2 linked regions of the Bombyx mori genome follow. The protein of the gene in region 2 purifies or fractionates together with the protein of the main gene of each other region. This does not show direct contact. Links are inferred from orthologs where the notes say so. Each region holds a gene or a part of one and is shown on either strand. Other genes may lie near its edges.

Evidence for each region. The genes of interacting proteins can lie anywhere in the genome.
Region 1: the proteins of neuralized-like protein 4 (region 2) and centrosomal protein of 97 kDa purify together in Homo sapiens (affinity purification with western blotting; 4 studies listed by BioGRID and IntAct, with this or other methods). This does not show direct contact. The link is inferred for Bombyx mori from reciprocal best matches to the Homo sapiens genes NEURL4 and CEP97.

The regions. Positions count from the first base shown.
Region 1 is NC_085120.1:10,929,595-10,933,251, reverse strand, and holds part of centrosomal protein of 97 kDa, read right to left. Parts: intron 3,578-3,657; coding exon 3,368-3,577; intron 2,799-3,367; coding exon 2,261-2,798; intron 1,877-2,260; coding exon 1,755-1,876; intron 1,136-1,754; coding exon 1,047-1,135; intron 321-1,046; coding exon 186-320; intron 1-185. UniProt on the Homo sapiens protein: Acts as a key negative regulator of ciliogenesis in collaboration with CCP110 by capping the mother centriole thereby preventing cilia formation. Required for recruitment of CCP110 to the centrosome.
Region 2 is NC_085107.1:10,103,328-10,106,984, reverse strand, and holds part of neuralized-like protein 4, read right to left. Parts: intron 3,313-3,657; coding exon 3,127-3,312; intron 2,317-3,126; coding exon 1,347-2,316; intron 294-1,346; coding exon 122-293; intron 1-121. UniProt on the Homo sapiens protein: Promotes CCP110 ubiquitination and proteasome-dependent degradation. By counteracting accumulation of CP110, maintains normal centriolar homeostasis and preventing formation of ectopic microtubular organizing centers.

The sequences.
Region 1 (3,657 bases), on a different chromosome or scaffold from region 2:
TATTGCTTCACGGCAGAAATAGGCAGGGTGGTGGTACCTACCCGTGCGGACTCACAAGACGTCATACCACCAGTAATAAGAATTAAGTTACTTCAATTCAATAAACATGTAAAGTGATAATCGAAATGCTTTAGGACTGGTAACAATGTGTGTGTGTGCGTGCGTGCGCGTGTACGGCCACACACCTGCGGCGTGAGGACGGCAGTGACGTCAGTCTGCGTGGCGACGGGCGCGGCGGGGGGCGGGGCGGGGGCCGCGGCGCGGGACGCGGGGGTCACGGCGCGCAGCACCTCGCGCATGCAACTCTGCAACTCCACCACCTGCAAAAGCAACATAAAAAAAAATTTAATGAATATTATGACCTGGTAACTAAGACCTGGTAACTAAGGTCAAGTCTTATTTTAATTTTAATGAAAACTTTTTTATATAAAAAATGATATTATGAAATGAAATTAAAGCAGATGGAATGATATAGAATGAAATATAATCTCAGTTAAATGGTGGTCATTTACTGAGACTTTTTGGAGGATCCCGAGAAGTTATGTTTAGCGGGTTTGTTTCATTTTCCCATGTTTGTGCACTTTTACAGATACTAAACAGTTAATAAAAAACTACACATTTAAACCTGAAGGAACACTAAATAGACTAAATAAAACAAATCACCCAACTTCACTCCTCGCGTTCCCGCCAAAAAGTCCCCTGTACAATAAATTAATTCGTAGTCCGCCCGGTAGTGTAGTAACTCTCAGTTGTTTTTGTTCACTCAGTGTTTATGTTCCATTCACTCACTCGTTCGTTCATTCGATCAGCTCGCCTGGTACCAACAGTGTGCTTAGTGCAAGTTTTTTAACGTTCGCGATGGCGTGAAAGTTCACTCAAATCTGTATGGAGTTGAAACGTTCGCCTACGTTTGCCGCTAGGGGCACTGTTCTATCCGCATACAAATTGAGTTAACTTTTATGCTATCGAGAACGTTAAAAAACTCGCACTGAGCACACAGTAGTAGCCAAAAAGCCTATGGCGATCTTTAATTTTATTAAACTTACCTGTTCCTGTAGGTTGATACATCTCTCTGACAACTGCCGCAGTACATCCGTGTTCTCATCGCAATCTGACATGTTCTTGTGTTTGCCATCTACAAAAAAATGACACCAATAAACATTTTCCATTTTCATTAATTGAAAAATTTAAAATCATTTCGAGGAATAGATTAGCTGATTACAGAAAACTGATTTTTAATCAAATAAGTTTGATTTTTCTTTGTTCTAAATTACTTCATCATCATTGGCTTTATTCAAACAGATACTTTAGCCTATACATTTATATATTCTGTACACGTCTCAAATGTAATTAAATTGTAAATTGATTAATTGTAAATATTTAATTTAGCTTTTTAAATTGGTGCAAAATTTAAAAAAATAGTGGCCATAAAAAAAGTAAAAAAGTCTTAAGAAGATTAAATCACATCATGTAAAACATACATATTATTGAGAATTTTCTAAATGTATGTACTTTTTTATTTTATTTTTTTTATTGCATAGAGGTGTGGACGAGCTCACAGTCCACCTGGTGTAAAGTGGTTACTGGAGCCCATAGACATCTACAACATAAATGCGCCACCCATCTTGAGATATGAGTTCTAAGGTCTCAGTACAGTTCCAACGGTTGCCCCACCCTTCAAACCAAAACGCATTACTGCTTCACGGCAGAAATAGGCGTCTCACGATGTCACTACAATGGTCACACCGGCTCACCTAAAGCTTGTAAAGTGGAGACCTTCTTCCAGAGGGCGTTAATAGCTTGCATCTGTAGCTGCTGTATTTTCCTTTCGCTTTCTAGGGCCGCTTTTGTGGCCTCCATGTCGCAGGTTAGTCTTCTAAATAACAGAGAGAAAAAAAACATTTCTTTGGTTCATACAGTGGTTTTAAATGACCAATGTTATTGATCTTGACACACGAGGTCTAAACGACTGTCTAGGAGTAACACATTACAATGAATCCTTAAGGCGAACATGACTAAGACATGAAGTGGAAGTCTCAATTGTGCTGTATGCTGGTTGTACCACTCTTCAAGCTGGAGCACATGGAAGCTTCACGGCAGAAATAGGCAGAATAGGCAGGTGCGGACTCCACAATACGCCCAACCAATCTTCGTAATGATAACTAAATTATAATCCAGTTAGATCTTCCGTCTTGTCTTGACTGGTAAAACCCCTAATAATACACCTTCAGTCGCCTGATAGTTAGTAAGGTATACGAACTGTATGTGTTGCCTGGCCCTCGCCGCTTGGATCGCATGAAGGATCCTGAGAGTGTCCTTGTTAAGGTTCCTGCTCCGGTATCCTCGCCACATCTTCTGTATGGTGACCGCAGCCATCGACTCCACGCTCATCTTCTTCTGTCTCCGCTGATTTGAAGCCAACTTGATAATCTCCAGTTTGTCTTGCTCTATGACGTCACTGTTCACTCCGTTCATTTTGTCAGAGTTCTTCACGTCCAGCTTGGTCAAGCTGCCCTTTCGTTCGACTTTGGACCTTAACTTCGGCGAGGAAGTGGCGCTTTTGGTTAATTTCGGCGAGCCTCTCGTGTTCCTTGTCAGCTTGGGCCGGTCCTCCTGTGCGCTGCTGTTGCTGGAGTGCGAGGAGGCGCTGTTCGCAGAGTTGTGCTGTTTGGGTATCGTCTTTTGTATGTCGTAGATGGGGTCCTGGTAGTCTGGACTCATGAGGGATTCCGGTACGGGAACCATTTTGGATGCAGCCTCCAGTGACTGGTTAACCGGCTTCGGTGTTGGGGGTTGTTCTGTAATAGATTTTTGATTAGATTAGACAAAAGTAGCCTGGCCCTAGCCTAAGGGGCTATTCTAGCTACGCCCGGCCGGGTAGGTGCATTCTCGAGTTGAACCTGAGAGAGTTTGTTAGCACTAGCCCTAGCAAGAGCAGTGTTTGGGAGAATTTACCACCAAATCGGAATCGCGACCCACTGAGAAGATCCGGCGAGAAACTCAGCGGGCTGTGTCTATGGGTTATTTCTTTTTTTTTATTGCTTAGATGGGTGGACGAGCTCACAGCCTCCCTGGTGTTAAGTGGTTACTGTAGCCCATAGACATCTACAACGTAAATGCGCCACCCATCTTGAGATATAAGTTCTAAGGTCTCAAGTATAGTTACAACGGCTGCCCCGCCCTTCAAACCGAAACGCATTACTGCTTCATGGCAGAAATAGGCAGGGTGATGGTGCCTACCCGCGCGGACTCACAAGAGGTCCTACCACTAGTAAAACTCCAGTAAATCTTGAACTCCGGCCGGATTTCGAATTGGAAATAAAGGGAAATGACCACAAAGCCAACGATACGATCCTAACAAACTCACCTAACGTCTTCTCTTTGACTGGTCCGTTCTTCTCGAGCGCATACATAAGACCAGTGGAGTCGAAGCTCTGGCTCATGGAGGAGAGGCCTGGCAGATCGCCAGTGTAAGACGAGCTCATGTTCGAAGGGGACCCGTTCCTAGATAAAGCCGCGTGATAGCTCGAGCTCAGGCGGTCCGGCGAACGGCCCACGTACCTCGACGTTATGCGAGCTGTGTTCGACACAACAACTTTTTAAATACTGTTGAATATGGCGGTTGACTGAGCGTGGTTACTGAGTTTCAAACTGAGT
Region 2 (3,657 bases):
GAGTGTACGGCCCACCTGATGGTGAGTGGTTACCGTGGCCCGTGGACTTCAGCAATGCCAGGGGCAGGGCCAAGCCGCTGCCTACCAAAGTATAATAGAAGCGTGTTAAAAAGATAGTCACATGTCAGAGAACGAAGTCGATGTGCAGGGTACGTCTACTAGAGCACGTGGTCTTCGCACCGAGCCGCTCTCCCCGTGCGCGGCCTGCGCTGAACCCAGAATGTTCCTCGACACGTTCCAGAAGCCACGCTGAGCCGCTCCCACACCGTCTATACGCTCGATGCGAACCCAACCTGAATTGTTAACAAGGTATTATAAAACCTAATAGTACACGCCAAACGTATTCGATAGTTGACATATCTTTAAATTATTACGTGAAGCAAAAACTTTGTATCTCTTTTAACGAAAATTTCGCGGACGGAGGAGTATGAAATTTCCCACGCTTATAGTTTATATAGAGAAGGAGTGCAGAATGCTAATATTTTTTCGAAATTATGCATTAAAAATACACTAAATTAATAAGAAAAACATTGTACACACTACCATGTTTTTGACACACACACGCATATATACTCTTTTGTTTATTGTTTTTTTTATTGCTTAGATGGGTGGACGATCTCACAGCCAACCTGATGTTAAGTGGTTACTGGAGCCCATAGACATCTACAACGTAAATGCCGCCACCCACCTTGTGATATGAGTTCTAAGATCTCAGTATAGTTACAACGGCTGCCCCGCTCTTCAAACCGAAACGCATTACTGCTTCACGGCAGAAATAGGCGGGGTGGTGGTACCTACCCGTGCGGACTCAAAAGACTCAAAAGAGGTCATATCACCGGTAAATTAATGATGATAATTAATTAGTGATGATTTGAGAATTTACCTATTTAATTGTTTCCATGTTCGAGTTAATTTCGGCGTTGTGTGATTCAATCTACACAAACGCATAAACATACAAGGAATGAATTGGTTGTGAATATTTCATACAATATTATGTATAAATATTATAAAAATATTTGCTAAGGCCCGGCGACCACCAACTCAGTGTCCAGTGGGCAAGAGAATGTATATACTTTACGTAAAACTCGTCACCTTGCCCCCGACCGGTTTCGGGTGATTTTATTAGTAGAATTCTACTAATAAACTGTACTTTATTAGTAGAATTCTACTAATACATGTAACTATACTGAGACCTTAGAATTGATATCTCAAGGAGGGTGGCGCATTTACGTCGTAGATGTCTGTGGGCTCCAGTAACCACTTAACACCAGGTGGGCTGGGAGCTCGTCCACCCATCTATCAATAAAAAAAAAATTCAAATTCATGACAATGCAATACATACTAACCAGCAAACGGAGGCAGTAAGTCCGGTTGGCAGTTACTGCAGTAGCACCGTACCTGGCCCCAGGACACCGCCTTTCGAAGTTCAGGGTACGGACAAACCAAAAAGTTCCAATACTTCAAAACAAGATGCAAGTGCTCACAGCCTTCGCCTGACGCTTCCCACTCGGACTCCAAGCTCTGACCTTCGTCCATCTCTTGATCGAAGCACAAGATGCGATTGAGGTAATTCAAGTTCTCAATAGATAGCTGCTCGGACCATAGCTCGTCGCGGCGCGTCGATTCATCTAAAGACGACGATTGCTCTTCGGTTAGATCAGGCAAATTACCAGTTTCCAAAGTGAGAGCGTCCATTATCTCATTATCCAAATTATCGACATCGTTCGCTTCGGGATACCGATCGTTATGGCGAATGTTCGTATCGTAAAACTGTCCGTGCGACAAGCTGTCCGAGTGATCCGCTATCTGTGAGCCTACACTGTACGTATGACGTAACACCTTTAGTTCGATATCGTCTTGTATCAGACTAAAATTATGAGAGGAATGACTCTTGTGAATGAAGCGCGACGATGTAGATGTATCACAGCTGTTTGACGACATCGTATTGTCTGACATTATCAGGCTTTGGTGTAAAGAGAGCTGATTGGGACATTGTCTCTTGCGTCTTATCGCTGGATTCTTCGTCTCGAAGTTACTGAGCGGAATGCATTCTAGAGGCAGGATATCGCGTCGGGAGCTGGGTCCGGGCTGAGCCGCGATAGGTTCCAGCTCGTCCTCGATGAGGTTGTCGTGGCTATAGGCTTTCAGTTTTCGACGGATTCGCATTTCGGTCAAATTGGTTTCGAATAATTCACGAGTTGGTTCTTCATTCATGTCGAGATCCGACATCGATTCTTCTCTTTGATTTTCAGCTATGATGGGTAGGTCGATCGAAGTGCCGCTCACGACCACGTGAGGATGCAACAGTACAGACACCTAGAATTTGAATTCGAGGTTTTAATTAAGCTGAAATGGCGGTTATCCTTGTAGCGTTACCGGTCTTATAAATCAGAACGCATGATTTCTTTGCACCAGAAACGAATAGGACAGTGGTACTAACCTACAAGGGCTCACAATATGCCCTACCATCAGTACTCCATTGCAAAAAAAAACGGGGAAAGCTAAACAAGGTTTACAGGTTAAATCGGTTATAGACAGATTGCAGGGTAGTAGTGGCTTGAAGAATGCTGGGTTCAGTCATACTGATTCATAGCCGGATTATATAGTCCGGACTATATAGTATCTATATAATAGGGCAGGGGTCATCAAATTGCGGACCGCGGTCTTCATCCGGACCGCTGATCGATTTTGTGTGGACCGCGAAAACACAGCAACTCGTACTACTATGCACGGAAATTTCCAGTGAAGAGTTCTAGATAATTTTGTAAAGCAACATTTTCGAAAATGAACTTCATCAAGAATAAATTTCGATCTCGACTTACTGATGAACATCTCTGGGAATTAATTAAAATATCTTGCACTAATTTTTCTCCGAACTTCAGACAGATAGTCCGTTTCAAAAATATTTCATTTTTATCATTTATATGTAAAAAAATACCTTTGTTATTTCCGTACATTTGATTACTAAATATATATATATATTTTTTATAAAATGTACGGCGTTGCGCGATTGTCATTTCATTTCTTAAAACAGACTCCGAACTAAGCTAATTAGTGACCCCTGGTCTAGCTAGGGTCGCACGGCATTAAGATCGATTCGAATCGATAATACAAACTCGTACTCACTTGAGTGACGCGACCGTAAAGATCGATCAGGGGGAAGACGTGACAAGCATTCCTTGAAACAGCGCCGATGACTCCGAGCGGCTCCGAGTCGATGTCCACGGCAATGTCGCTGTTCAGCCTGAAGTGTATAGTGAGCACCGACTGCTCCGTCAAGTTGTCTAAAGGTGCACCTCTCTTTGTCTTTATCTAAAACGATAATGATTCTTTAATACCAACAAGTAATAGTAGACGAATTTTAGCACTTATTTTTTGATCTCGACATCTAAGGGGACTTATACTGTTATAAGTTATGTGGTTGGTACCATAGAGTCATCAGCCACCAGAACAAAAAAAAATATTAATATTAGTATCAGAAGAAGATTAGATTTTGTATTGCCATTCTAGAATTAACATATTCTGACTTTTTCTTTCAGGCAAAGCCGCCATAGTTGTTTGTCTATGGATGGTGGAAGCCACCGATTGAGTAGTTCAAAAAACCTGACTTCGGTAGTACTAAAAATAAGGCAAATACTCCACAATATTACAAAACTT